Linked DNA regions of Nothobranchius furzeri. The protein of the gene in region 5 binds, or shares a complex with, the protein of the main gene of each other region. Links are inferred from orthologs where the notes say so. Each region holds a gene or a part of one and is shown on either strand. Other genes may lie near its edges.

Region 1 (4,338 bases), on a different chromosome or scaffold from region 5:
TTTATAGAATAATGACATTTATTCAAAAGAAATATGTAAAAAACACAAGTTTAGTCTTAACTAAAGCTTGAGAGACAGGCAGACCCCGCCCCACACACACCCACACACACACACACACACACACCTTATTGGATTTCACCCATGTACAGACGTTTATCACTGGAGCCAGACAGCACTGCAAAGACACAGAAAAGAATAAATGAGTGACTTTTTCTTGTGTTTGGTTCCGGTTCCTGTTCTGTCGCTCACCTATGGGCTCCTCTGGGTGAAACACCACCTCGTTAACAGAACCGGCGTGGCCCGGCAGCTTGTAGAGGATCCTGCGAGACGTGGTGTCCCAGATGTACACAAATCTGTAGCAGACGCACAGAGCGGGGAACAAAAGTGGCTCTCAGTGCCTTATCTTTACTCCGTTTGGGTTTAAAAAGTCACCAAAGCGTTTCTCACCGATCGGCTGATCCTGCGGCTACTTTACTGCCATCAGTGGACCAGGAGCACCTCAGCAAGTTCTGAATAAACAGGAAAAGAGGACATGAGAAGAACACAGACCCGGAGCTTTCACAGCTAAAAAGCGGTTTTCTTTAGTCCAGATATGTACGACTTCTCAGATTGACCTAGAAGTGAATTGTTCATTTGTCTGCTAGTGAAGATTACCTTTTCAAAGTTGTGAACATTACCCTGGAAAATCTTCACGCACCTCTCCTTGGGTGCAAACGGCCGCACGTCCCAAATTCGCACTGCAAAGACACGCGAGACTCTTTGAGGGATGCGATTCAAGCACAGATGAGCAGGATCAGAAGCCGAGCATACCAGTGTTGTCCATGGAGTTCGACAGAAGGTATGACCCCTCGGAGCTCAGGCTGAGCCCGGTTACAGAGTCCCCGTGTCCATGCATGTTGTAGATCAGCTTGTTCTGTCGCAGATCCCACACCTGAGCAACACAAAGCTTTCAGATCAACGACCAGGAGAGAATTTTAGGCTGGAGCCGATTTGTTGCCTTCGACATTTCACATTTTTGCAACAATCAACAAAAAATAAACTTGCGTTTGGAGTTGAAGCAAACAAAAATGTAAACAACCAAGGGCTGACAATAAATCTCACTGAACATCTTCAGTCAATCAACTTTAAAATGGCTGAAACAGAGCATCACTGCAACCATCTGCTGTTGTTAAAGGGATTAAAATGTTTAGTCTGACTTTCTTCAAGATAAACAGTTTAATGAGTCCCTTTAAGAAAAACTGTTTTTTTAACCTTGATGTCGTTGTCGATGCCTCCAGACAGGATCTGATCACTGGTGTCGTTAAACGTCACGGCCAGAACCTGGTAGGTGTTCTGAAAGGTGTGGATGGCTCCTTTTTTGCGGATGTCCCACAGCTAGAAAACAAAAAACATCAGGCTAAACAAAACGTGCAACAATGTAGGTGTGTGTGAACGGTGTGTGTTGGACCTCATTTTCACAGCAAAACACCCAGAAAACAGCCTGACCTTGATCGTCCCGTCGTCGCTTCCTGTACAGACCAGCTGAGGACCTCGGCGAGCTGGATAGCAGGTGTTAACAAAGGAGGTGTGTCCCTTCAGACGTTTGACCCTCTCACCTGTCTCGCTGTCCCACACGCCAACAGTCTTGTCCGTGCTGGCTGAAAACAACAAGCTGAACCACACAGACACCTCTGTATCACACTTCTGACTCAAGTTCCGCAATAATCCACCAGATATTAGTTGATCATATTCCACCGTCTCTACCTGCCATCTGTGTTATAATGCAGCTCCATCACCGCTCCGCTGTGACCCTTCAGGGTGGCGTAATTCTCACAGTCTCCATACACGTTCCACAACACTGCAGCATGGTAACAGAGATTTTAAAGCGGTTTTAACAAACATATGTCTGCTACTGTTTGACACAAACTTACATATGAGTCTGTCGAATCCTGAAGAGGCCAACACAGCTCCATTGGGGTGAAACTTGCAGCAGTAGACCTCCCCCTCATGGCCAGACATCAACATGATGGGAGCCTGCATGCTGGAGGTGCGTGGATGGCCCTATGGGGATCAGTGATTTAGGTTTGCAGCATTATGGTGCAGAAACAACAAGTGGTACTTTACTTTAAATGCATACGAGCTGGATGACTTGCTGAGATCTAGCAAAGAGAGTGAAGTAAATGCTCCCTTTAATCATGTAGGAGCTGGAAGTAGATCCTAATTGCACCAGTGGCAATTACAATCTGGTGTTTCCTTAAGCTTGCATTATGATAAAAGGTGATATCTGTGTATATATATTTTACCTTTGATGCACAAGTGAACTCTGATCATCTTGACAGTTTATTTATTTATTATATATGCTTTGTTATTTGAATCAAATATTAAAAAGGAAGGCTGTTTTAATAATAAATATTGTTACCAATAAAATACATAATTACAATAACCAACACGCTCTTGAAAATAGTTTTTTTGCATATTGAATTCTATTGTCAACTATTCTGATGTTTACATTAATCATGAAAACGTGACTAAATCTGCTTACATGGTCCGGTTAATGAATACATAAGTCCCCGGCTAGCATAGCTTGCCCTTTTCTCAAACTTAAAAACATAACTACTATAAAGGTGGTAAGTATGATTTAATCTTGAATGTAAACGCAGTCGGATGTCACCAGGGCTACGTTACCGTGGCCACGAGCTGCTGAGACTGAGCCGCCGCTACTAGCTCCATCCGTGGCCGCTTCAGCGCAGTGGGAACCATCGCCATGTCTCCGGGTCTCTTTAGAGGTTCAATCATTGCGGGGAAAGTTAACAAAAAGCGGCTAAATAGAGTAAATGCAAAGCTAAAACTTAGTAAAATTAACGGACGTCTTCGACGAAAGACGTCTGAGGAAACAAAACCACCAAAGAAGACAGACACTGAAGTACTTCCGGGTTCAAAGCTCGTGATTGGTGGAAATTTGCGCAGGCTGCAGTGATTGGCTGATTTTCTTCCTGGCGTCAATTTGACCTGGAAGTATAACTAGCACAGTTTAGTCGGTGGAAAAGGTATTGCAATTATTTTTATTTCTTAAGAGTTAGAGTCACATTACGCAAAATATATTAATTATAGCACAATTGTCTGGTTTACTAATGTATCATAGAGCAGTTTAACAGGAATAGGTTAGAGGGTTTTATGTAAACACCAATGCTCGTGTTGCGTTTATCCTGTTCATGTTTCCAGAGATATTGTCTCCTATAGTTTTTACTCCGCTCGAATTAATGTAATGGAAAGTGAAGTTTGAGGTAAGATAAATCCATGTTTTGAAAATTAAAACTGATTTACAATATTAATAATTCTATTTGTTCGTTTTTGAGATTAGCCTAGTTTCTTTAAATCTGACAGCTGCAATTTTTGTCTGTGTTCTTTGTTTTTATTTATTTTTTTGTGTTTGGTTCTCAGTCTGTTTCACATGTATGGAGTGTTAGAAAATATGCAGTTACCGTTTAAATAAAATTTAGACCATGGCTGGTCTTTTTAGTCTAGTTTTAATATTATTAAACTGGGTTATTTGAGCTTAATTCTTAATGAAAACGAAGAAAAAACATTTTAATTGAAGGATAACTTCAACTGAACTTGATTTATTGCCTACTCCTGACTTGTGAAAACATAATAGTTGTCGTAGAAAGTAGTTTTATGGATTTTTATTTAATAATTTTTATTCACAATATAAATACTTAAATTTATTCTGTTACTTTGTAAAAGGAACAATATTGCTTTTATTTTGGGTTTCTTTAACTTTTCCTCGTCTTTCGTCTTTTATCTGTGTTGTGTTATTGAATTGAAATATATTTAATCCTCCAACTGTTTGCCCAGATTGAGACGATGTCCAACCGTGACCGCTCGAGTCGAGAACCAGCCGGGCTGGATGGTCTGCCTCCGATGTACAGCATCGCCAAGGGAGAGGTGGTTTCAGTGCAAACATATGGAGCTTTTGTTCGACTGCCTGGTTACAGGAAGGAAGGTTGGTAGAAGGCTGAGAGCTTGTAATCTTTAAAAATGAAATACCAGTATTAGTAATATTAACCAGCTGAGTGAAGTGAGTCCTTTAAAGCAGTAATGGATCTGTAAAAAGAAAAATAGGAGATATTAGATGACTACAGCTAACTTTATATTTTTTATTTAAAAAAAACGTTTTCATTTAATACCATATATTATAATTTTAGTAGCAGATGCAGCACTGGGAAGCATCAACGGCTAAAATAGGAAGAAGTTTGTCCCAAACTTTTTATACTTCATTATCTCTGATGATAAATTCTAATTTTAGTGGTTGCCCTAAAATATTTTGCCACTAGATGGAAAAAAGATAAAAGGTTTGGG
Region 2 (4,320 bases), on a different chromosome or scaffold from region 5:
TAAATCTGTAAGTCTTGTCACCAGCATTCAGACATTAATTCTGCTTGCTTCACAGACCGACAGGACACGAAAAAAAAAATATATATATATATACATACATACACATATGTATTATATATTTATACACATACACATATATATTGATGATAATATAATTGTTGTTTTTGTAAAAGTCTATTTTGGGCTGTTATTTTTCTTTAATTAGTACTGTTCTAATGTTTTTGTGACCATTTTATTTGTTTGGTGGTAAATTTGCACCCATGTGAAGGATTTCAAGATTTTCCTAATATGCAGAAAGTTTTAGCAGTTAAAATATTGACAGTGTGAGATAAAATAACATGCTCAGGGTTTCCTCTACGATTTTGATAAACCGTGGTGGAGAGACGTGCGGAGACGGTCGCTCTGAGACACGAGCAGTATGCTTTTCGATGAACATTCCTGCAGGTGTGTGTAAAACATCCATCCATCCATTGTCTGAACCCGCTTTGTCCATGTAGGGTCGCGGGGGTGGGGGGTTGGGGGCTGGTGCCACCCTGAACAGAGAGCCAGTCCATCGCAGGTGTGTAAATCAGCTTATTGTTTAATTACAATTAAATAAAAAAAATGTAAAAATATATTTACCTTGAAATAATTTGTATTGCTTGATTCCCACCTTGATTACAGCCATGGGCGGAACTTGATTTCTGTCCATTTTGGGTCCCAGCCAGATTCTCTGTGCTGACTTTTTTCTTCCCTCTTACCGCTTCCCTGCTGCTCTCTCCCTCATCATGCTCACTTATGCATGCTGGTCCTTGTTCTGCCTCTCCACTTGTCTCTCCTTCGCTCACCTCCTGATGGTTGGCGCGCACCAGAGCGGTGTCCTGAGCATGGCGACAGTAACATTCTCAGTGTCTCCACGTATAACACACGATTGTTTATGTCGACTCGTGTCCTTTTTATGCTTCCTGTCTTTTATTTGTGCCCGATGCGTTTTGCTGCTGCGGAGCGAAGCGCATCACCTGTTTTGTCCTCAGGTGACTTCACCACACCGGTGCGCCCTCGCTAATTTAGCGGTCGGTAGATCTTTTTGAACTGCAGTTTAAAGTTTTGTTGCAATAAAATTTATTTTAAACTGTGACTATGGTTAGTACACATGCACAAATATAGACTATATATGTCTCGTTATTGTTTTAATGTATATCCAAAAAAAATGTTTCTGAAGGTACGTTGTTTGAAGTTTTTTTTTTGTTTACTTCTGAAGGTGTGGCAGCTTTTATTTTTCCGTAGTGGCGCGCCACGGCAACATGCACATAGGAAACACAGTATTAGTATTTCTTTAGCTTTCTAAATGTAAATTTGTGCACTCTTTACATAATAGCTGTTTTTTTTAACCTTTTTTATACAGGTTGGTATCATAGCATACAACAGCCGATGAGATAAACAGTTTTCCGAAGCAGTGGGAGCGTCGGTTTTCTTCCAAGACTCCCATCTAGACACCTGTCCAGATCATATCCGACGACGTGGTTTTGTCTTTTTCTCAACAGCTTTGAAACCCGGAGCAGATCCCACCTGAAAAAAAAAAAAAAAAGATTCACATGTTTTAATCCTTCATTAAGGCTGATTTACTTTTTATGAAATTATTAAAGTACTGAATCAACAATGACCTGTTTCATTGTGTTCCTGATCAGGCTGGCAGTTGTGTTCAACGAGTCATCATTCATGTCCAGTTTAGGTGGTTCTGGTAATTTCGGTCCAATCAGGGTCTCGGTTCCTCCAGAAACACTTGCCGACTGCTCGGGAGCCTCTTCCATTCTGCGTTTCCTGATCTCCAAGTGCGAGGACCTTGGGAGAAACCTGAATGCTGAAGCCTGATCTGAGGTCAGTCTGTGTTCTGTGTCGTGGTCTCTCTCTGAGGCTTGGTTAACGCTTAACTTTTCCACTTGGGGCTGTTTCAAGTTTATGATGGCATCATGTAAAGTTCCCATTTTGTCCTCCTGTGCGCTGATCCCATGTGGACTGTTATGTCCAAAGGGATGCTGCTCCCATGGAGGTAATGGGAGAGGAGGGAATTCTGCATGTTGGCTGTGGTTTGAAGCATCCTCTGCACATTCTTTTTTAGAGGTTTGATCGTGTCTGACGTTTATGTCTGATGCAGTCGTCGATGATGCGGAGCCTTCGCTGTGCGCCGCTTTTGCTTTGTAAGAGAAGATTTGTTTTAAAGCATTGAAAAGCAACATTTAAAGGTCAGAACTAAATCAAACATGATGTTAAACGATACCTCTGCTCCGAGCTGCTCTCATAACATAACCCCTCCGGTCCTGTAGCTTTAGCCTGGTGTCTTCTACAGTCTCATACTCTGGGACGTAACACACATGCAGCACACCGCCGTAGAAGCTTTTCTCATCCATGTTGCGTTTGGCTGCTCTGAAACAGAAACATTCGATAACGATTAAGCAGGTATTTCCAGTAAAGTATGAGGAGCGAATAAATCGTACCTGGCGCTGGTTAGCTTCTGGAACTTGATGAGGTAGACTTCTGTAAACTCCTCAGCCGGATACTCGTCCAGAGGTCTGTACTCCTCCACAACACCATACAGGGCACACAGCTGGACCAGCTCCGTCATCACACCGATAGCTGGGACTCCCAGTACCATCAGGAAACGGGACTCTAGGTTAATGGTGTACACCTGGAAATTCACAAGACTAAAGTTACATTTCCTGCGTTCAGTGCAGTATTAGAATGATGTTACCAATTAAGCTAAAGCAAATCTTGTGTGTCTTCTTTACAGAATTTATGAACATTTTAGCTGAAATTAATAACTTCTAAGATTGTCTCACCTTAACCGCTTTAGCTCTTCTTCCTTCTCGATACTTTGGTCGAGAAATGCAAACTTTCTGCTGTTCGTGATGTTTGTGAACGTCAGGAACTTTCCAACAACCGGAGCTGTTGTTTACAGGGACCGCCATGCTTATTCTAAATGCTGTTCCGGTTTAACACTTTCAAAATAAATGCTTTTAGTTCAGTGAATGCGTCTGCACTTCCGGTTTAACACTTTCAAAATAAACGCTTTTAGTTCAGTGAATGCGTCTGCGCTTCCGGTTTAACACTTTCAAAATAAATGCTTTTAGTTCAGTGAATGCGTCTGCACTTCCGGTTTAACACTTTCAAAATAAACGCTTTTAGTTCAGTGAATGCGTCTGCGCTTCCGGTTTAACACTTTCAAAATAAATGCTTACAGTTCAGTGAATACCGTCGCGCTGCCTGTTAGAATACTCTTTTATTTTGAAAGCAAAAGATCAACTACTTTTGCCTGGTGAGGAGTCCATCGTCCACAGAGCACATCGATAAATCCAATTGCTCTCTCTGCCTGGTGTATGCTAAGCTAGCTAGCAATGCGAAAATTATGTTTAGCAACCAGGGAATTCAAGCCGTTCGTGTCGTTTTTAACAACACAAAAAACTGCTTTCTTCACCTCCCTTCCAAGTTGGTAGCGCATCTTTCCTTGAACGAGGTAGGTTAGCTAACTAATTTCATGTTGATTTACTGCTTTTTAGATCATTTCTGTACGTTAAGACTTAGTTTTAATGTATAATGTCTGTGCTAGCATAAACAGATGACAGTTTTTAAACGACTAGCCGGGTTGTCTTATGCTCAGATGAAAGTACTTTTGTTTGAGATTTTATAAACATGCAAAGCAAACAGTTACCTAATCAACGACAGCTGCTGGTTTTTAGGATTTTCAGGTGAATTGCTTCCTTGACATCTATGTTTGCCTTATTTTACTGCATTAGAGACTTAGAGAGACACACTTAGACTACTGTAACTCTCTTTTCACGTGTCTGAGCAGAACCTCCCTGAACCGTCTACAGGTGGTTCAGAACGCCTGTGCTCGGCTTCTGACCAAGTCCTCCAAACGCACCCACATCACCCCGCTTCTCCTCCAGCTTCACTGGCTGCCAGTCAACTTCAGGGTTCATTTCAAGATCCTGGTTCTGGTCTATAGAGCCTTACATGGACAAGCACCATCTTACATTGGTGATCTTCTTAGTCCCTACACCCCCAGCAGGTCCCTGAGGTCCAGTGATCAAAGCCAACTGGTTGTGCAGCACCAGGCTAAAGGTCAAAGGTGACAGATCATTTGCTGGTGTGGCCCCCAGACTGTGGACCTCTCTCCCCCTGAGCCTGAGATCAGTGGACTCAGTGGTCTCCTTTAAAAAGCAGCTGAAAAGTCACCTGTTCAGGCTTTGGTGGGACCTTCACCACCCTCTCCTTGTTCTGCTCTTTGCACTTATTCCACATTTCCGTGATCCACTGATTTCCCGCTTCCCTATTCATTTTCTC
Region 3 (4,174 bases), on a different chromosome or scaffold from region 5:
TCCGCCTGTCGATCTCCCGATCCCTCCTACCCTCACTCGTGAACAAGACCCCGAGATACTTATATAATTATATAATGCATTTCATTAATATGCATTTGTATCAGAAATGGTAATAACATTTAATTTTGGCTGCTAAAAATGTAATGGTGGCATGTCTATTATGTACGGGTTGGCAATAATCCAGTTCAAATTATGTTGAAAGATAGAAGCGTCTGTTAATTATATACTACAACGGCTTGCCATAGCCGTTCCATTCAATTCAAAGATACTTTATTAATCCCAGAGGGAAATTAGAGTTTCAGTACACACAATTCTGAGATCAGACATACATACATAGGCATAGACACATGACAAGAATTGGTGACTGTGGTCATTCGCGACCCGGAGGGTTTACATAAGGATTGGGTCAGGTGGAGGGAAAAAAGGCACTTCAGAGACAGGGAGGGCAGCTTTGCTATGCAAAAAAACACCTCAGACAGAAATGCAACAGACTTCAGACATTACACAACATAAGTGTCCACTAGGTGGGGTGGTAGGGTCTGGGACTCTCCACACATCAGTGCATGCAGCCGCGATAAGCAGCGCTCGTCACCTCCGTTTGGACAGGGGAAGGAGGTATGTGGGTTAGAGGGCACAGTGACTCCTGGAAACGATTCAATGGCCTTCACCGGTCGCAGTCCCACCCAGGGTGGGATAGGGAGACAGAGTTACCATGGCGACTGCAGCATTGTGGCAGTAATGTGACTCGTATCTGCAGCGGTTCTGATCCATAGCGCTGCAGGATGCAGAATAAACAGGATGGTGGGGACTTTTCATCCGCTTGTAGATTTTAGTCTTTCTTAGTTTTACCATCATATATTTTTCTGTGCACCACTTGATCGTGAGACTGCTAACCGTTAGCTTTAGCATTAGCCAATCTGCGTGTAGCTGCACTTTTGATCCCAAACTTTGGACCGGTTCTGCCTTTGCTGGTTCCTGTATTTTCCTCCACTGCATCCAGATGACCACACTGCGCCGGTAAAAAGCATTTTTCTTACACGCAACTAACTTTGTTCAATAAAGTTCTGGGGAAAATAGTAATTCAAAGATGTTGCACCAGTGCTACGTTTAAACATAGACAGACACGCACAGACAGTTCTTTTCGTCACACTGTACAGCTCTGCTCTGATATGGAAGAGCCTGGGGGAAAATCAGGATGTCAATAACACCAACCATAGATATGTAACTAGCGAGAAAAGCAGTTTTTGATCTTCTTTGTCTGCAGTGGTTTTAGTGCTTTTCGGTGCGCCGCTGCTGATACAGCGCCCCTGTAGGGGCGTAACGCTGCAACTGCAGTTAAAATAACACCCATATAGCTGGGGGCAGAGTGAAATCAGGCTGGGGCGGCCGAATTTGAATGCAGGAAAAACCCTGAATATGCTTCAATCAGTGGTGGAGAACAGGATGCTAAAACAAATGCCTGTCCATGAGAGACACAGAAAAAAACGTTTATCACTCACCTTTATATCGGCCCTTTCCTGATTTCCCTGAATGCCCTCTTGAAGGTGACAAGTCTGGAGAGTCGTGGCGACCTCTCCTTGGAGGAGATGTGTCCGGAGAGTCATGTCTTGCTTTTCTGATGGGAGAATTGTGTCTCATGTCTTTTGATGACCTCTCCGGTGAGTCTTGGTGAATTTTGCTAGATTCCAAAGACTCTACACGTTCCCCCGTTGTTTCATCTTCCTCGTTCTCATCAGCTACAGGGAAGACTAGATGATGATTTTCTTAAACAAAGGAACAGATTTTGTTTGTGTTTCACGTTTACCTCCAACTATTTTCCATCTGTTGCTGGTCCTGAAGACTTCCATCTGTTTCACCTCCTCTGGTCGCTCGTCAATGAATTCAGCAATCTTAGTGGGCACACAAATTTATCCATATTGCATTTCCATAACATTTGAGGAAACATCACTCATTAGAACCTTCTAATAAATAAAAGTTTGTGTTTTTTTGTCTCTGTTTATGTCAGAATTCAGCTTTTTTTCCCTCCTGGATTATATGGACAGATTACGCAAAAAGATTTTTTTTCCACAAATTAAATTATTATTTGTTGCAAGAAAAAAAACTATAATTTTGCACTTGTTTAGCCCTGTTTATAGTGCAAAATATCTTCCTCTTGATCTTTTTAAACAAAAATTATTAAAATGGCACAAAAACATTCTAAGTATTTTGACCCACTTGGGATCAAGTTTTAGTGTCTAAAAACTTGTGAATACACTTTCATAAACTCAACCCAATGTATGGAGTCTAAAACTGAACGCCTGTCTTAATATTGCCAGAGATTACTGAAGGGAGAGATTTGCTTTAAAAGCGTTTGAATCGAATTAAGGTCTTTCGAAAAAGCTAACGTTAGCTAGCTGTTTACCACAGGAGCTTCTTCTTCTTCCTCCTCTTCAATCTCCTTCGGTTCTGTGACCATCTGTCTCCAGTCTATATCATCATCTACTATTTTAAGTCTGAAATAAAAGGAAAATAATAAATGTCACCAAGTAACAAAAAAGCGATAACTGACACAGTGACTAGCGAAACAGCTAGCATACAAGTGAAAAGAAACTTTATAGAACTCTCTCACAAACTCACCCTTTTTCAGGAACTTTGCGTCGTTTCTTTTTTATCTTTCCTTTTGATTTACTAGCATCTTCGCTGGCTGACAGATAACGTTTGAGGTACTCAGCTTTAGAAAGCTCAGCTCCTTTACTGACGCCATTGGAGGCAGCCATGTTGACTGTTGTCCGAAACTACGGATAGCGCGGAGGATCAAAAGGGGTAAACCGCTCCACCATCCTTGTTATGGTATATATTTTTCTTTTTAAAAAATACCACAAGAGTCATAATCTGGCTTTTGTTGTAAAACTGAAAATACTCAATTGCTAAACAAGCCGCTTATCTTTTTGATGTAAAAATGGATGAGCTATGGCTTGATTTTCCATCTAATTTTTGCTAATAAATAAAATAAAACAAATAGAAAAATAAAACGAATAATTAACACTGACAAACAGACATTTTTTCCCTCATTTTGGACACAAAAGCATCACATTAACAAGTGTTAATTTTGATAATAGGAGTCTTTCATCAGGGAACCAAATCAGTAATTAAAAAAAATAATACAAATAATAATAAAAAAAAACAAGTGGTCATTTGATTCTTGTTTGGAAATACAAATGATTAAAACAAATACAATTCAATTTTGTGTGATAAAATAAGGATGGCACAGTAAAACAATATTAGATTTTTTATAATGAAAAAAAAGAAGAATTAATGTTTACTTTAATTCTATTTGCAGAAACAAAGACGACATTTGTTATCACCATCACCATTCTGTCAGTGCTGTAGGAGACATGCTTTAGCTCCATTTAGAAACTGACTCTACTCGATAGACACTGAACACGTTATTGTTCCCAGCAGTAACTCAAAAGTAGTGATGATTTAAGATCTTTAGCTTGAGGAACTCAGTGATGTCATCATAATGATTTATTTAGGCCCTGGATCTGTCTATCTCTCTCTCTCTGACACACACACACACACACACGCACGCACGCGCGCGCGCACACACACACACACACACACACACACAATGTACTTTGATGTTTTGCATCTTTTTTATTTGTTCTTATCATATTTTAACAAGTTTTTGTTGCCTCCTTGTTGCACCTTTTTGTATTCATTATTTATTTGCTACCTCATTAATGACTGTAACTTTATCTCGTGGTGTATGGTGGCTCAATCACAACCTCATGTAGCAGCTGCTCTGTAGAAACATTTGTTTAGATCTGTTTTACACACTTAAATAAAAACAGCAAAATGGTCCAATTTTACCCCCAATAAGTTTAATGTACTTTAGTTTTAAGCCATTAAGAATTGTGCAGTTCAAATCACTTTTATATAAAAGTGATTGAATGTCAAAGCTCTCAGACTCATAACCCAGATTATCACACAACTCTTTCAGTTCCCAACAAATCCTCTGAGACCTAAAAGACATGGCACAAAAGTAAACAAACAAAGTAGTCACAGCAAGTTTACCAACAAAAATATCCATTTTCATGTAAATAGGAGCAATTATGTGCCAGAGAGTTGTTTATGGAGTAGATCTGGCCGGCTGTGTTTCCTGATCCTTCCACTCCTTAAAGGTTTTTTCCAC
Region 4 (4,459 bases), on a different chromosome or scaffold from region 5:
ACGTTTTCACATATTTTCCATGTAGTTTTTTGCCAGTTCCTCTTCTGAAAGGTAGACAATTGTTTTTCTCTTTCCCTCAGAAAATCTTAATATTCTCCTAGTTTGGCCCAGCACAGTTCACTTCCCAATAGCAGCAACAGCCTTATATCATAACCACATAAGTGGAGAAAATGCTCAGTAGCAATGAGAGAATTTGCTGTTCCATTTAAGTGATGTTAACTATTATTTAACATTTAAACTTATTTTCTGATATTTTTTTATTTATTCAAAAACCCTGGTAAGGGATGTTTTTCTGCATTTGGAGCATCAGAAAAAGTTTTATGGTGGAGGTGATGTTTTAAAGTCACTGAGAAACTGCATGCATGCAGTTTATTGTTTTGCTACTAATACAGTAGCAGGTGCAGCTGCATATTTTTGCAATAAAAATGTTATGTTGTAATGGAATTCATGCATTAGTTTTGTTTGCTTTGAACCCAGAGCAGACGTCACACGCCAGACGACATCAACACTGCATACTTTAGTATTTGTTCATTTATCGTGAGTAATATCGATATCGCAATATTAAACACTGTTATCGAATATCGCAGGTTTTTCTAATATCGTGCAGCCCTATTCCTAATTGTGAGTCTACCTAGGCATCATCATGAAGACATACCAAAGGCAGCAGGTTCAATGGGACACGTAGGCCTTGAAATCATTATAATAAAAAAGAAAACTTCAGCAAACTATAAAGATGATTTGTTTCACTGAGCATCTTCCATGTTTGATGAACCATCTGAAACATGGCCACTCCACTCTTTCATTTCCTGCAACTAAGACAGTTTGCTTCAATGTTCATCAAGATATGCCTTTTTAGATAAAGCCCTGTTTACATTTCATCATTCAGCCTAAATACAGTACAAACACACTGTATTCAAACAAACCTATCGAGAATGGCTCTAGATTATGCAAGTACAGTCTCTGTTGATGTGAGGCTGTAATTTTCTCCGGATTCTGACACTAAGACACACTGAAAAATGAAAACATCTGAGCAGAAAAGTCACAAGTTGAATTGTTCAACAACAGACAAACATTGCAGTTTCACAACTCGTCCCAGTTACTGTCACGTTTTCCTATAGGATGCAGATGGATTTGTCTCAGAGGAAAAGGATAATGTTGTTGGTGACATGATTACATGTGAAAAACTCAGCAGGGTGTTGAATAGAGAGCATGTGTGTGTGTGTTTTATGTAAAAGGGCTAATAGAAATGCTGTAGCGTTTTTGTGACACAAAACTAAATCTTCAGCACAATCACTTCATACCTTTCTTGTAAGCGCAGCCCTGGCAGTAGTGAGATCCAGCCTGATGAACTGAGCTTTTGCAGATCCTGCAGATTGCGAAGCCAGTCTTGCTGTAAGGGTCAAACCTGATGAAAATAATTGTTACACACATGACCAGTTATATCAGCTGACCACTTTGAATTAGTAATATACAACATTGAAAAACAGTAGCTAAACCGTTGTGTGACTTCTTCTGAGGAATAGTTCAGATAAGAGTTCATTATGATGGGCTTTTTAGGAAGATTTAAGAACAAGGTGTCACCTCATATTCTATACAAATCTTACAATCAGACTAAAAACCAAATGAGAGCTACTCCTTTTCTGTTACTAATAAGGTTCACCAGATATTGTCACCTATTCCCTTTAACTTGTATATGGACGATCTAAGTTTTATTTAACTAAGAGAGCATAAGAGTGGATGAATGGGGAAATAATGACCAATCATCTCATGACTGCTGAAGATTTGATGGTCTTTTACTCTTCAGAGCAGGTTTGCAACAGTTACTTAAGAGTGTGTTCCAGCTATGATGTAAAAATCAACTGTTATGATTGCAAGAAATGAAGAAGATCAGGATTTAAACGTGGTTCATAAAGTAAAATACTAAGGACAGATGATTAATGATGATTCATGTGGTGATTTGTGCCAATGCAGCAAAATGTATGCCCAAGCAAATATGGTGGTGAGAAAGTTTTATATGATAAGGTTGAACTTTAGTAAAATAACAGTTTTTGGTTCAATTTCAAGAAGGTAATTTTAAGATAAGTATATTAATGCGTTTAGAATATTTTCTCTGACTTCTCATATTTGTATTTACATTCATTAGATTGTTGTAATTAAAGTTTATTTTTTTCTATAAATTGTTTTTACTCACCTGGCTTTTTTGGATGTCAAAATCTTGTTCTCATTTAGCTTACGTCCTCCACTCTCTGACACAAAGAAAGAAGACAAACTTGTTAAACACGGACATCTAAATGTTACTATACCTATACTAATATAAAAAAAATAAACACCAATTAATTTATATTATGGCGTGATCAACCAAATGAGGACTAAACCTGCTAGTAACGTGAAAAAATATAGAAACAATGATTACATTTTCAAAAGTAACTTGTAAACAAGACAACAAGTCTCATATCTAGAATAATTAACAAACAGCAATTTATCATACTGATGGCAAAAAAACATTTCACTACGCATTCCTCGGGTCACCTGTTGTATTCCGTGCTCCGTCCTTCCAAGTGTCGGGGGTAATTACTTTTCCCAGTTTCTTCTCGCCTAAAATATAAAACAAAACAATTATGGAGGAAAATACAATAAGAACTAAACTATTGGCCTTCTAGTTTGCATTTGAGACTTTCGCTGACAAAAGTAACGTTCATCAGATTTTAAAATGAACAATACGTCTGAAAATCAGAAGCAAATGACATACATACACTTTTCACAGACCATCTTTGCGGTGTGTCGAATGACGCAGTAGAAATGATCGTTTGTTAGCTTTAGCTTGCTTTGCTAATGTAAACGTCCGGTCAGCTGAGGCATTTCAAATGACAGGTTTCATTGGTTGCTTTAACGAGTAACATCTTCTGTGATTGGTTAAAACAATTGAGTTACGCAACGCGAACTATAACTTACTACTTCCCGTTTATTTGCTTATAGGTTCTTCAAAATAAATGTTTGATAAAGTCAAGCACTTTTACCTTATTTAACCCAAGCGTATTCATTAGCAGAGATTGAGTAACAAGTAAAACATACACCTTTTTCACTTGAAATTGAAATAAACTGACCCGATAATCTATGATAATATGTTTCGAAACGGATGTTTTTTCATCATTCACCTAAGATGTCTGTGCGCAGTAGACTTTTACTGTGAAATTAAGCGGACGTTCTTACGTCTTCGTGTTTACGGAAACGCGGAAAAGAAATACATAGACCTGACAGTTTCCCAATGTTACCTTACGTTTTTTAGGTGTTTTATTTGACTTCCCCGCATCGTTATCGGGTTCTTGTTGTAAATAGTTCACGTCTTCATCATGTGGGACCATGAAATTAAAGCTATGGCGTCTACTCACGCGATTATCACCGCCTCGGTGTTCATGGCCACGGTCATCCCCGCGGTGTTTGTCCCGGGCTTCTCAGTGTATGGGACTCACCTGCTGTGGGTCTACGCGGTGTCCGGTACGGTGACCTGTGTCAGCGTCGCTATCTTCTGGCTGCTCGGCATCTCACCGCCCACCAAAAAGCACACACTGGGATACAAGGTGCCAAAACAACTAGATAATGTTTTTAAAGTGAATTGTTGATTATGTTCGACATATAAATGTATTATGTGATATGTGAAGGTATCTTATGAATTTTACAAAATGTATTCGTTTGTTATTATTAATATTATTATTATTTGGACAGGGAAATGGACATCAGTCAACTTGCTTTTTAATTAAATTTAATAGATGTGTGAAAATGAAGGTAAGTTTTGGATATTGTAAGGTGAGGTGATGAAAAAGTAGAAATTGTAAGCGTTTCTTGTTATGATCTATTTTATTTAGGTGTGAAAAAAGTAATTGTCTCTTAACACATTTCATATATTATTTGTTTAATTTTTTGTCCCACTTAAATGGTTCAGATCAAACAAATTTCAACATCAGGCAAAGAGAACTTGAGTAAACTAAACTAAATGCAGTTTTCAAAGGATTATGTCCTTTATGAAGGGAAGAGAGCTAACAAAACCATCCGAGTTTCATTTCATTTTAATTCGGTTCATCCATGATCTAAACGGCTCATCTTTAGCGCTAATCATCATCAGATGAGAGCTAGGGGACATTCTGGACAGGTCTCCAGTCATATAGAAGGACAAACAACCATTCAAACATACACTCTCCCACCTAGAGACTATTTAGAGTCATTATTGAACCCTTTTCATGGATGTGTCTGGTCCATGGGAGGAAGCAAGTTACTGGAGAAGGGCCACACAAGCATGGGGAGAACATCCTAACTCCACGCAGAAAGGCCATGCAGGCAGGATTCGAACCTGCAGCATTCTTGCTTTGAGGCAAATAAATTTAATTTTTTCATAAAGCGCCAGTTCACAACATAAGTCACCTCAAAGCGTACAAAGAAACAAAGGAAGTACCTCCACCTTTGT
Region 5 (3,675 bases):
AAGTGAACGCACCATTAGCTGATAACAATGGTGGCATAGGAAGCTAACATATCAAGCTAATGTTATCTTTAACAGTTTACTTAACTGCTGGAGCAGATTTAAACGATGATGCCTCACACTTAAATCGTTGTCACTGGTTTCATCTTCACCCAATCACCCGTCGCATTTAGTAAAGTGAAGCCAAACTTTAGAGCGCGTTCATGTTCTTCTAGTCGGAATTTCGGAGTTCCGAGGAGAAAGCAAACGCACCATTAGTGAAACGGAAGCTAACAAATCAAGCTAATGTTATCTTAAACATTTTATTTACCTACCGGAGCAGATTAGGATGAGGATGCCTCACTTAGATCATTGTCGCTGGTTTCATCATCACCCAGTTACCCATCACATTTAGTGAAGTGGACCCAAGCTTTAGCGTGCGTTCTTTCTACCATGCTGCTCTGTTTACAACTCGCTTGCAGCGACCAACGACGTAACGCTCTTGCGCATGCGCAGCTGTCTAGGCAAGTTCTCGTTGTGAAGGACGGTACCGAAATGAGGCACCGTTTCAAATGAAGTGAATCGGTGCTCGGTCGGTACTGTGGAATTCGGTCGATACCTTAAAAAGTACCGAATTCGGTACCCATTCCTACTCGGGCATCTGGTAAGGATGCCACCTGGACGCCTCCCTGGAGGGATTATGTCTCTCGGCTGGCCAGGGAACACATTAAGATTCCTCTGTAGGAGCTGGCCCAAGTAGCTGGGGAGAGGGAAGTCTGGGCCTCTCAGCTTAAGCTGCTGCCCCCGCGAACCGACTCCAAAGAAGCGGGCAAAAATGGATGGATGTGTGTTAGCAGATAGCCCTTTATGGGCTGTGAAACTTTGACATTTCAGGGACTACGGATGACTTTACCAAATGTGGTAAAAGAATATATTTTAAATTCTGACCTCTAAGAATGATGACCCCAAAATAAACCATCAGCATGGCAAAAAGTAGCCAATAGTGCATTCAATTAAGAATATGAGAGTAAAGTTTCTAAATATTGCTAGATTATAATTGGGCCTTTCTCTGATGAGAACCAGTGGAAAATCAAAATGTCAGTCTTAAATAGTTTAGACATTTTATATCTGAAGTGAAGTGACTTCATCACTGTTTGACTTTTCAGCTGAAAGAAAATAAAAGCAGAGCTGTGTTTTAAAACTAACAATGACTTAAGCAGAGAAAGAGTAATAGTTGTAGCTGTTGATGTCCGTCTAACATCACCAAAAGTCGGCAACAACAAATCTGAATTTGCAAACTTCTGACTAAAAAACTGATCACAGTTTGCAACCTGGGTCAGGACTTCAGTATTCTGTGCTGCCTGAGGTCAGCAGGGAGACGTGTCAGGAGCAGGGTGCAAGGAGGAAAGTGTGGCAAGATGTCCAGTGCTAAAAACAGCCAATAAACTCTGAGGTCAACTCTGCTCTTCCCAAACGACATTAGGTATCACTGGGTTTACTGTGAATGAGGATCTATGGTAAGCATGTAAATATCAGCAGATATAGTGGTATATATGGGTCAGATATAGAGCTGGAGAGCTGCTGGGTACCCTGTTATAGTTTATGAAGAAACTTTAACAACTTTTTTTTGCTAATTTTTGTATTTATTTCCAAAGCAGGAGGAAAAACAAACAAAATTCTGACTGAGACAGGAGTTTAGCAATAAGGGTGCCTTAAAAACACCCAACCTAAACTATATTACAGTTTAAAGAGCATCACCAGCAGTTTGCTTGTTTTCCCTACACAACTGAATTAATTACATTTTTTCCATATTCTCTCTCCAGCTCCACATGACAAACAAAATGTGTTCCTCTAAGTAATGGCGTTTTGCATAGCAGCTGTTTTAAACTGTAAAAAACACATTCCTTTGTGCACATCAAAATATTTTAGCAAACAAACCACAACCCCATCCGAACCCAACCAGACGAAAGATGGATGTTCAGGAGGTTACTCTCTGCCACAGAGTGGTTTGATTAACAAGCTTAAGATTGTTTTTAAGACCTGGATAAAAATCCCTCTTTATCCTTCATGTTTACGTAGACTTTAAAGGTAGGGCTGGCACAGCTAACAGTTATTTCCAACTCAAACTTATCAAACTTTCTCTGAAATGAACTTTAGACGGTCTCATTTGATTTTAAGATGCATATACCAGGATTTTAAATTATAGCTCAGACAAACAGTCTTGATCTCGTCAAAAGAAAACAGAACAGACATTGATGAACACATTATTTCCCCTCTGAGTCATAGAAATGAGTCTAAATGTGTTTCTTTGAAGACTGACTGCTTTGTTAGTGAAGCTTATTTTGCATTCATCCCACAAGTTCTTAGGATGTGGCTTATGTGTTCAACAGGCCAGCAGTGCCCCCATCAGGCCATAGTAGTATATTACATGTTTTAAAGCAGAATGTGGAGAACCTGCTAAGTTTTTCTAACTAAAAACCGTACCTGCGACTGGTTTTCTTCCCAGGCTCCTCCTCTCTGGGCTCAGCTGAGCTCTCGGCTCCTTTTTCTTTCTTGAGCTTTTTACTGACCAGTTCTCTTATCTTCTTCTTCCTTTCTGGATCATGCTCTTCATCTGCACATGCGTCATCCTCATCATCATATGCCTCGTTGTCTGACTGAAGAAAGAAAGGGTGGAATTAAAACACAAACTCAGAGCTGTGAACATCTTTTGAGTTTTCCTTTACACTTACATCACTGTCGTTTCCAGATGCCCCCTTCTCTTTGTCTCTTTAAAAGTAAGGGAACTCGACTTTAGCATTAGAGAGCAAGAATTCCAGGTTAGTGGTGATAAATTAATAATTTACGACTCATACTTATCAACAGCTGGAACTGAGCTCAGTCTGGGATCGTCCTTCAGAAGGTCGTGGCTGCTTTTGCTTTTTCCTTTAAATGTCTGAAGAAATGGAAAAATTTGACACTTTTTTTTTTACTTACACATAAACCTATAAGTGAAATATGTAAGAATGATGTAAAACTGACATCCTGTGGTCAAAATAGGTTACTGCTGGCCATTTTATAAGCAAACAGTAATTTTCTCACTCCTGTTGCGTGAGTTTCATGGCTGTTATCATACACAGGAAGTGGATAAGCAGGGGCAGCAGTAGCTCAGGAGGCAGAGCAGGTTGTCCAATAATCAGAGGGTTGAAGGATCAATCCTGACTCCCGACCGAGATTTCTGCTGTTGTGTCCTTGGGTAAGACACTTAACCTGCCTTGTCTGCTGGTGGTGGTCAGAGAGACTGGAGGTGCCCGTGAACAGCAGCCTCACCTCTGTCAGTGCGCCCCAGGGCAGCTGAAGCTACAATGTAGCTCATCACCATCAGTGTATGAATGTGTGTGTGTGAATGGATAAATGATGCACTACAGTGTAAAGCGCTTTGGAGTCCTTTGACTCTGAAAGGTGCTACACAAGTGTGGGTAATTTATTATTTATTGGGGCAGCAGTAGCTCAGGTGGTAGAGCGGGTTGCCTCATGATCGGAGGGTCATGGGTTCAATTCCAGCTCCCGCCAGGGGTATCCTGCTGTTGTGTCCCTGGGCAAGACACTTCACCCAACTCGCCTGTGTTAGTGGTGGTCAGAGGGGCCGACGGCGCCAAATGGCAGCCTCGCCTCTGTCAGACCTCCCCAGGGCGGCTGTGGCTACAAGTAGCTTACCAT
Region 6 (4,222 bases), on a different chromosome or scaffold from region 5:
CACGCTCCTGTATGCACATGCATGCACACACACCTGGCTGTGAACCACAGAGTATTTGAATCAGTCTATTATTCATGGCAAAGGGGGTGCAGGTGCACTGAGCACGAGCTTCTGTTTAGTTTTCATTAAGGCAATTTGTGAGGAAGGCGATTGAAACCGATAAAGAAAATAGAAAAGCTATCAAGAAACTCTCAAAACACACACACACACACACACACACACACACACACACACACACACACACACACGAAGCAGATTCTCAGATTTCTCATATTTAGACTGAATACTGACCTGCCTTGCCGCTGACACACACACATTCTCTTCAAGCAGTTCAGCCTTTCAAAGAGGATCCGTTTGAACGCGTCTATATACATTGACCCTGCCGAGGTTAAAAAAGGAGCAGCACTTTAATAAATAACGCGACCTGTTTGGTTTGGAGCAACAGCAGGAGCTGGAGGAGGAGCGAGGAAGAGTCTGGAGTCTGGAGGAGATGAGATGAAAGGCGATCAGCCGGAGCCAGCGGAGAAAGTCAGAGCCGATGCGCACGGCTGACGGGATGTTTGGACACTAGTGATGCTCTGGGAGCTGAGGAGAGCGAGAGAGCGGGGAGAGCAGGAGAGAGAGAGAGAGAGAGGAAAATAAAACACACACACACACACACACACACTATCGGGCAGATTTGACGGCGGTCGCAGATAATTTCAGCAGCTGCTACATTGCTGCGAGCAAAAAGGAGAAAGGAGGAAAAAACAAGAAGGCGTGGATGGTTGTGACCCAAACGGGAGGTTTTAACTTGTGCAAAGAGAACAGTGCGTTTCTTACCCCCATGTTCACTCTCTGCGCCTCATCGTTTATCCATCATGCATACAGAAAAAGCCCGAATTACCCCCCAAAAAATCATACAAATGTCGGGTTCAGCAAATAAAGGTGTCGCTGAACTTCAGAGGTTGCGCAAAAGCAGGTGCGGAAATAGTAATAAGGTTGCGCTCATGCTGCTGACATGCAAATGCGGAGAAAAAAACAGCAACATTAGGCTACATGGCTAATGAAAAGGTTAACCTCACAAGTTCAGGCGCTCAGGAGGCACTGGGAGGAGGAGTTAAAAGCCCCGCCCACATTCTGCCTAAAACACACCTGCATCAGCAGCACCAGAGTCCGCTTCACTATCTGCGATTTAAAGGAGTCAGACCCACGCATTAATCCAACTCATTCAGCTCTTGTTTCTTTTTATTACAGGAGACTAAAAAGCTCCAGATAAACTATAGGGGTTTACAAGATGACCGCTTCAACGGAGCGATGTTTCAGCTTTTCAAAAATAGACCTGCAAGTCTAGACATGTTCACAATGAAAGTGTTAAACATCAGTACCTTTCTATTTTAAATCAAGTGTCAGTGTAATTACCGTCTGTTTAACTACTTTAAATGATTTGATATATTATTTAGTTACTAATAACCAACGGATTTCACAAATAAATCAGTAAATCTCGGATTGCCTGCGACCTTTAAAGAACTCTTATTATGAGGCATGATGGGATCTGTAGTCAATTGCAGCCTAGAGTGGTTATCGGGCTCGTTAACGCAACCCCATCTCCCAGAATGCACTGCGCCCTCATCGTTCTTCTTCCACAAACAATCATGGCGTCGCACGGAGACGGTTCAGGTGCCGCCGAGAACCAAGGAGATAAAAAGGCAGCGGCGGTATCGTTTGGTTTCACAAAAACTGTCAGCAAATTTAAACCCGCAGCCGGCGGCATTCCAGCCAAGACCGACGAGAAGGATTACCTGACTGGAATCGACCGAAATGAGTTACAGAGGTAGGCTAACCGCTAGCTAGAGGCTAAAGCTGTCAGTGGTTTGTAAACGGAGTGGTGACGTTTGAACTCTAAATCTGACTGACCACACTTTTACGTGGTGTGTGTAATGTATCTACCCGGGACACTTTAAAGATTTAACTTTTGTCTTCCGTGGCAGTTCAAAGCCAACCGAGAAGCCCAAAGAGCTCATCATCCCATTGATCCAGAAGAACCGCTGGCACAAACCGGACCGAGCGGACCCGAGTGGAGGCTCAGCGCGCGGCTCGGTCCAAGACAAAGACTCGGTGGAGTCTCAAGCTGTCAAAGAACTCATTGAAGGTTTGTGGTTGAAAAAGATGCAGAAGTTGGACAATGAATGGTTGCGTGTCAAAATGTGTACCCCCTCGCAAACGGAGCCCATCCTGGAAGTGTCTTCCTGCTAGACTGTAAAACAATTAAGAGCACGAGCTCCATGGCCGGTTTGTGTGTGTATTAGACAGTTTTTACTTTCCTACCCAACACTAAGAAAACCATCTTTATCAGTGACGTTGTGTGTTTCTGCTTGTAGATTCACGGAGGCAGCTGGAGCAATGGCAGAATGCAGCAGAGTCGAACAGAAGCCTGGACCTCTCCATCCCTCTGTTGATGCAGAACAAAGTCCCTGAGGGTTTTGAGGATGGAGACCATGTAAAGGTGGACCTGCGGCCTGAATCTGTAAGTGGGGACAGAACGGGCTGTAAGAGACTTAGGAGTATGCAAAGTTTACCAGACGAATGAGAAAAGATAGAAAAATTAATTATTCACAATTTTGTTGTTAGAGCAGCTTAAGTCAAGCCATCTGTTATAGTCAGTAATGCAACAAACCAGAACCTTTAGATTTATAAAACAAATGGAATAAACCTTTAAAAGGTTTAGTAAAGTACAGCAAAATTATTCTTTATCTTAATGATTAATTTAAAGCACGTGTACATGCTACTGCAGCAATCTGACACCCGGATCTACCAATATCCATCAAAAGTAGAGATGTAAGAAAATATCGATATGGCAATATATCGTGATATTTTTCCCAGCAACATTATATCGATATTCAAAAGCCGTGTATCGGAAATATCGATGTGGCAATATATCGTGATATTTTTTCCTGCGATTATTACATCGATATTCAAAAGCCGTGTATCTAATTCCTGAAAGAATTTACATGCAAACATTTGTGTATTTTCGTTTTGCGCAATTCAATCAGCACCCGCTAGTTGGCAGCAGTGTGCAGCGGGTTTTGTTTCCACCACTGAAATGTAAATCCCTCCATCATGGTTCAGATACCTCATGTTAAACATGTTACGTATCAGTTTGGACTGTTTATTGAACATTCTTACAATAAATTCAGTTAAAAAATTGCTTGTAACGTCTGACTGAATGTATCGCAATATATCGTGAAATATCGTATCGTCTCCCCTGTATCGTGATATGTATCGTATCACAAGAATTTCAAAAATACACATTCCTAATCAAAAGGCATGCTTACATCATCTTCGTCAGCTTGTTAAAGGATTGTACCACCTCACAGACGTTTGGTTGTGATGTTAGCAGCAAACCATGAAAAGTAAAGTTCGACCGATAATGGTTTTTCTGTTGCCGATACCGACGTGTAAAGGTTACGGACAGCTGATGGACGATTAGTGTTGCCAATGTTCTGTGCCGATTTTCATGTCTAGATGTTTTCCGCCCTATTTTCATGCTAATATGTCACAGGTAACACCAGTAAATGCACAAAATTTCAGAAGCTGAATCGGTTTTTGAACACTAAATTTAACTGTTAAATTTTAATCTTGTGCACTGCTCAGTGTTAAAACCAGACGTCTCACTAAAGTTAATCAAACAAATCAGGATACTGACCGAGTATTAAATGCTCAAAACTGGTAAACAAACTCTTATTTTTGGTGGAAATAATTTTTAGAGCATTAATTAAAGCAGATGCTATTCAGGAACATAAAAATACAATTAAATCCTGCAGCAGTGCCGGGCTGCCTGGGGATGTGCCTGACTTAAAACCGGCTAGGTTGTGTAATTGACAGTGAAAACTGTAAAAACCACGTTAAATCCAGAAAAAGCTGACAGGTTGAAGAAATCAGCAGTGACAATTTCATCAGTAACAAACGAATCTTTAAACTTCACTTCCTGACGGACGTGAAGGAAGGCCGTCGGTCTGAGCTCGTTATCTGTCTGAGGATGCTACGGGAAGGTTGTGATAGAATCTTCTGGACAGGTGCCTCAGTGAGGGCACGAAAACACCTGACAGTACAAAACGTCTGCTACTGGAGAATGGCTGCTGAAATTTGAGTGTGTGAAAATGCTGAGTACAACAATGTGTGTGTGTGTGTGCGCATGTGTGTGCGTGCGTGCACACAGGGCAGTCAGGCTTTGGTGGCAGAC
Region 7 (4,135 bases), on a different chromosome or scaffold from region 5:
ATCTTAGTTGTTCTCAGAGGTTAAAAGTGAAGTCATCTACCCTCTTGTTGGTGACTCACTTCACTTTTGTTCTCTTTGCGGATTCTTGCTCTGCACTGGTTTATCTCACACAGGTATTTACACGGATTGTACTCTACACACACCCACGAACCAAAAGGACAACTCTTGAGTTTTCTAAAGGTAGATGTAGCCCAAACCATAAAGGTCAGGAGACGGATCAATGAAATGCTGCTACGTAATATTACCAGGAGACGCTCCACCGTTTGTGTTAACACGATTTGGTCCGTCTGCTCCAGGAGACGACCATAAGGGCACCTAGCAGTCCTCTCTGAGGACTGACAGCATTTCTTAGCTCCGGTCTGCTACAGCAGATGCATCGTCTCACGGTTCAGACTCTTTTGTTGCACAGGTTGTAATTATTAGTTTAGCATTAAGAGCGTAAAAGTTAGCCTTTTCTTCGGCTCTCTGGGTGTTACTGACGTCAGATGTAAATGTTTTCTTGGTGCTGGTTTTGTCTGCATGTATATTTGAAAGTTTGGACAAAGCAACGTGTTACAAATGTAAAACTTTTACTACAAACCCAGGCCTGCTTCAGTGTTTCAACATGATTGTACAAAAGGAACCGAGGCCATGAACTTTATTAGAAATGTACACAGACAAACACAGAGAGGGTTCTAAAGCGTGTTCTAATCTTCTTCGTCTGACGGTGGCTGGTCGGCTAAAGCGTTGCGTTTCTCCATCTTGGCAATCAGCTCTAGAATAAATGACAATAAAACATCAAGTGTGACTGTTTACTTTGGTTTCTGCTCCTCTTGGATGTTTTTGAGCAAATGCATTTACCTTTAGCGGGGTTGAAGACACCATTGGTCTGAGTGTTGCACACGTAGCAGCGCTTTGACTTGCGATAATGCTGAAGAGCACAGCTCTCACAAAAATAGTGCTTACACCTAAGGAAACAGCGATTACCAGCCGGTAATAAACAAGGACTGAAGGAGAGAAACCATCGCAGTACTTACTTTGTGATGATGGGATTTTTAAAAGATTCTCTGCAGATGAAGCACTTGAAGGGCAAGTCTTCATCATCACTGCTCACCTCATAGTTCTCGTCATCTAGATGAAAACACATCAGAAACTTAGTCTAGCCAGCAAAAGAGAAGATTTCAAGTTCGATTATTTACTCACCATTTGCTCCATATCTCCCTTCCTCCAGTTCCCTCTCAATCTGCCAGCCGTGTTTGTAGTCCGACCTGTCATGGAGGAACTTGCAGCTGTCTAATGGCAACGGATGCAATCATGATTAATAAACAAAACCTTTGACTTCACAGTAGGAACGTTTTAAGAGTTCAGATTGTTTTCACCAACCCCCAAATCCACAGAAACCCGTCTCCTTGTAGTCTTTGCAAATATCCGGTTGGTAGTCCCACCGGACTGTAGCTCTCAGGTGTTCAGGAGCTCGAATCGGTCCTTTTCTGTAGCACAGATTGAACGTAACCTTCAGCATCTATAGGTGAACAACATCTTCTGACTGCATGTGAATATCTCTTGCCTCACCTGACCATGCCTGAAGAGGCATTGCCCATGGTGGTGTCTTTAGGCTTGATGAATTTTTGGTAGTTATTGATGCCACGGTATATTTTATCATCTTCTTTACCTGTTAGCTCCTAATGAGACAGAGGAGGGAAAGCTCAAATGACGAAGGTGAGATTTTGATTATTTCTCATTTTATATTAACCAATAGCGGCATGTCCTACCTCTTGGATTTTCTGACTCCTCTCAAAAATAGCTTGAGCATCCTTGTCTCTCTCTGTGTCCAGCTGATAAGTGGCAGTTGCACCCATGTCTTCAGGCCCCTCGGGTTTCTTTTTATGAAGGCAAGGTACAGTAGAAAGTTTTAAAGTAAATAAAAACAACTGTTCAGGGCACATAGTCATGTGTACGTGGATGAGAATGGTCTGTAGATTGTAAAATAATGTTAAAATTTGCTTTTCTGGTGAAGTTTCAGCCCCTGTATGTTTTGTCTCAACAGCCAGGTTGAGCCATGATGGAAAAAAGATCAGTGTTTGACTTGTACTGTCTGGCTCTGACATTTTTGAATGAATGCAGTCTGAACTCACCGCTGATCGGGAAGACTTGTAAGCAACCGTTATCTTTTTGTCTCCCTTTTCCTCCTCGCTTTCACTAGAAGACACAGCGTCCCTCTCCACTTTTTTTGTCTGAACAAAGAATACATAGATCATTCACGTTGCTGCTTCATAACTAAGTATCTATTAGCTTGCCTGCTCTACCTTTTGAATCATGGGGTTGACTCGAGCATCCTTCTTTTCTTTTCTGACCACAGCAGTCTGTTCAGTGTCACTATCGCCATCTAAAACAAACAAACAAACACACACGCGCACACACACACACACACAATTGGTGTAAACAAACATTACAAAATCTATTACAATTAAACTAGGTTACTTCCCCTCTTTGTTTAAATGTAGCTTTCAGGTGATAAACCATAATGTTTTTGGTCCTGTTTATTATGGAGGATAATATAAACAAACTGTTTGGGTCGCGGTTTTGATCTCCCTGATGAGAAGCCGCTATCAATTCTATCCAGAGGACAGACAACGCTAGTTAGGAGAAAATTACAAGGAAATGTATCTAAATGATAGTTTACTACCTTTATCGCTGTCACTTGCTTTTCGTTTTCTTCCGGAGAATTTCTTGGTGGATTTTTTAAACAAAAACGTACAAGTAGCTGCTTTTGGTTTGTCTGGGTCCGCCATGTTTTTGTTGGTGTAAGAACAGTGGCTGCCAGAGCAGTAGCGCCCCCTGTTGTTCTGGAGGCGAAACGTGACGCGCTCCTTCTGCCAAAATGAGATTCACAACCGTCCATAAATCAAAGTCAACGCGGCTCTGGCTAGAATGGTAAACCTAAAATATTATGTTAGAACGGACGAGGGCCAATGAAAACAAAAGAAAAATACAATAAAAAAATGAACAGAAAGATAATTCTGACTTTAATCTCAGAATTTTCAGATTTAAATCATTATTCTTTGTTTTCAGTGGCCTTAATCCTCTTCCGTAGTACTTGAAATAATTTTTAAAAGGTAATTTTAGTTTTAAACAGAAAAATAATTAACGCATTTTGATTGGACACTAAATGTATAAACGATTAATAAACAAAATACACAAAAATAGCCATTAGAAATGTCGTTGATAAAAAGAAGAAACGATCTTTTACAAGACCGCTCAAGATAATAATCATGAGCAGGCGCTTCACAAGAACAACAACAACAACAACAACCATAACAACAAAAAACAAAAAAAGAAAGAAAAATAAATAAAAACGAATGACATAAATTTGTAAGAAAATTTTATGTTTAACTGCTTTTTGTCTAAATAATCTTTTGACGTAACTGATGCCAACACAATCTGTCTATAAGTGATTAAATGTATTGTTTATGTCAACTTGATAACAAGAACTCAATTAGTTTCTGGCTTTCGAGAGTAGGGTTTTTTCCAACCTCTGGCGGTCAGAGGCGGTTACTACAGTGTTCACATAAAGTTGAACAACACATAACCAATTAGCACTTCCTATAAATCCTTTCAAAATAAAAGAAATAACAAGAGGTCAGAAGGTCTGCAGTTATATAAACTACACAACCGATGAAGCTTAATAAATGTATCATAATTATCTGTGTTAAACAAGATTAAATTAACGCGCTAAAACAAAAACTATTAGCAGCATTACAAACACATCAGATCATACGCCCTCTGGTGGCCTATTGTCCCTCTGCTGTAGACTCAGAGGAACATCAAGTAATTCTTTTTGATTGTGAAATTTAACTAACAAGTTTGTAATTTCTTCTCAAACATTTCAGATATAAAACAATTTAGGCCACTATCAGGTGTCTGCCCTGGGATTGGGAGATCGGGTTTGAATACCGGTCTAGTCATACCAAAGACTTTAACAAGGAACCCAATCCCCCCCCCTGCTTAACACTCAGCTTTAAAGGGTTGCATTAGGGGGTTAAACAACCAAATTACTGAGCGCAGCCACTGCAGCAGCTCCCTGCTCTCCATCGGGATGTGTCAGATGTGGAGATGAATTTCACCAGTGTGATGATGACTATGGGACTTTAACTTT

Evidence for each region.
Region 1: cwc27 (region 5) and snrnp40 share a complex: the UniProt entries of both Homo sapiens proteins name them as parts of the minor spliceosome. The link is inferred for Nothobranchius furzeri from reciprocal best matches to the Homo sapiens genes CWC27 and SNRNP40.
Region 2: cwc27 (region 5) and rbm48 share a complex: the UniProt entries of both Homo sapiens proteins name them as parts of the minor spliceosome. The link is inferred for Nothobranchius furzeri from reciprocal best matches to the Homo sapiens genes CWC27 and RBM48.
Region 3: cwc27 (region 5) and bud13 share a complex: the UniProt entries of both Homo sapiens proteins name them as parts of the activated spliceosome. The link is inferred for Nothobranchius furzeri from reciprocal best matches to the Homo sapiens genes CWC27 and BUD13.
Region 4: cwc27 (region 5) and cript share a complex: the UniProt entries of both Homo sapiens proteins name them as parts of the minor spliceosome. The link is inferred for Nothobranchius furzeri from reciprocal best matches to the Homo sapiens genes CWC27 and CRIPT.
Region 6: cwc27 (region 5) and gpkow share a complex: the UniProt entries of both Homo sapiens proteins name them as parts of the minor spliceosome. The link is inferred for Nothobranchius furzeri from reciprocal best matches to the Homo sapiens genes CWC27 and GPKOW.
Region 7: cwc27 (region 5) and rnf113a share a complex: the UniProt entries of both Homo sapiens proteins name them as parts of the minor spliceosome. The link is inferred for Nothobranchius furzeri from reciprocal best matches to the Homo sapiens genes CWC27 and RNF113A.

What each region holds. Positions count from the first base shown.
Region 1 is NC_091759.1:20,973,038-20,977,375, reverse strand, and holds the start of snrnp40 (U5 small nuclear ribonucleoprotein 40 kDa protein), read right to left. Parts: upstream 2,909-4,338; 5' UTR 2,776-2,908; coding exon 2,665-2,775; intron 2,041-2,664; coding exon 1,911-2,040; intron 1,838-1,910; coding exon 1,744-1,837; intron 1,652-1,743; coding exon 1,486-1,651; intron 1,375-1,485; coding exon 1,252-1,374; intron 932-1,251; coding exon 811-931; intron 738-810; coding exon 655-737; intron 510-654; coding exon 448-509; intron 354-447; coding exon 250-353; intron 176-249; coding exon 126-175; 3' UTR 1-125. Other genes in the region: zcchc17 (zinc finger CCHC domain-containing protein 17), read left to right, coding at 3,844-3,982. UniProt on the Homo sapiens protein: Required for pre-mRNA splicing as component of the activated spliceosome. Component of the U5 small nuclear ribonucleoprotein (snRNP) complex and the U4/U6-U5 tri-snRNP complex, building blocks of the spliceosome.
Region 2 is NC_091759.1:22,195,850-22,200,169, reverse strand, and holds rbm48 (RNA-binding protein 48), read right to left. Parts: upstream 2,961-4,320; 5' UTR 2,946-2,960; coding exon 2,817-2,945; intron 2,666-2,816; coding exon 2,475-2,665; intron 2,404-2,474; coding exon 2,258-2,403; intron 2,174-2,257; coding exon 1,644-2,173; intron 1,549-1,643; coding exon 1,486-1,548; 3' UTR 563-1,485; downstream 1-562. Other genes in the region: peroxisomal ATPase PEX1, read left to right, coding at 3,383-3,490. UniProt on the Homo sapiens protein: As a component of the minor spliceosome, involved in the splicing of U12-type introns in pre-mRNAs.
Region 3 is NC_091750.1:44,767,950-44,772,123, forward strand, and holds the start of bud13 (BUD13 homolog), read right to left. Parts: upstream 2,801-4,174; 5' UTR 2,757-2,800; coding exon 2,617-2,756; intron 2,493-2,616; coding exon 2,402-2,492; intron 1,890-2,401; coding exon 1,805-1,889; intron 1,737-1,804; coding exon 1,500-1,736; intron 1-1,499. Other genes in the region: rsph3 (radial spoke head protein 3 homolog), read right to left, coding at 4,158-4,174. UniProt on the Homo sapiens protein: Involved in pre-mRNA splicing as component of the activated spliceosome. As a component of the minor spliceosome, involved in the splicing of U12-type introns in pre-mRNAs.
Region 4 is NC_091756.1:43,772,479-43,776,937, forward strand, and holds the start of cript (cysteine-rich PDZ-binding protein), read right to left. Parts: upstream 2,911-4,459; 5' UTR 2,770-2,910; coding exon 2,754-2,769; intron 2,596-2,753; coding exon 2,530-2,595; intron 2,247-2,529; coding exon 2,192-2,246; intron 1,406-2,191; coding exon 1,302-1,405; intron 1-1,301. Other genes in the region: pigf (phosphatidylinositol-glycan biosynthesis class F protein), read left to right, coding at 3,351-3,578. UniProt on the Homo sapiens protein: As a component of the minor spliceosome, involved in the splicing of U12-type introns in pre-mRNAs. Involved in the cytoskeletal anchoring of DLG4 in excitatory synapses.
Region 5 is NC_091746.1:63,235,832-63,239,506, forward strand, and holds part of cwc27 (spliceosome-associated protein CWC27 homolog), read right to left. Parts: intron 2,912-3,675; coding exon 2,832-2,911; intron 2,746-2,831; coding exon 2,709-2,745; intron 2,634-2,708; coding exon 2,461-2,633; intron 1-2,460. UniProt on the Homo sapiens protein: As part of the spliceosome, plays a role in pre-mRNA splicing. Probable inactive PPIase with no peptidyl-prolyl cis-trans isomerase activity. As a component of the minor spliceosome, involved in the splicing of U12-type introns in pre-mRNAs.
Region 6 is NC_091755.1:41,971,823-41,976,044, reverse strand, and holds the start of gpkow (G-patch domain and KOW motifs-containing protein), read left to right. Parts: upstream 1-1,306; 5' UTR 1,307-1,517; coding exon 1,518-1,813; intron 1,814-1,970; coding exon 1,971-2,131; intron 2,132-2,360; coding exon 2,361-2,506; intron 2,507-4,222. Other genes in the region: membrane-associated guanylate kinase, WW and PDZ domain-containing protein 3, read right to left, coding at 292-374. UniProt on the Homo sapiens protein: RNA-binding protein involved in pre-mRNA splicing. As a component of the minor spliceosome, involved in the splicing of U12-type introns in pre-mRNAs.
Region 7 is NC_091745.1:10,008,359-10,012,493, reverse strand, and holds rnf113a (E3 ubiquitin-protein ligase RNF113A), read right to left. Parts: upstream 2,826-4,135; 5' UTR 2,772-2,825; coding exon 2,666-2,771; intron 2,366-2,665; coding exon 2,286-2,365; intron 2,214-2,285; coding exon 2,115-2,213; intron 1,860-2,114; coding exon 1,752-1,859; intron 1,662-1,751; coding exon 1,552-1,661; intron 1,470-1,551; coding exon 1,363-1,469; intron 1,273-1,362; coding exon 1,183-1,272; intron 1,111-1,182; coding exon 1,017-1,110; intron 948-1,016; coding exon 841-947; intron 755-840; coding exon 687-754; 3' UTR 623-686; downstream 1-622. UniProt on the Homo sapiens protein: Required for pre-mRNA splicing as component of the spliceosome. As a component of the minor spliceosome, involved in the splicing of U12-type introns in pre-mRNAs. E3 ubiquitin-protein ligase that catalyzes the transfer of ubiquitin onto target proteins.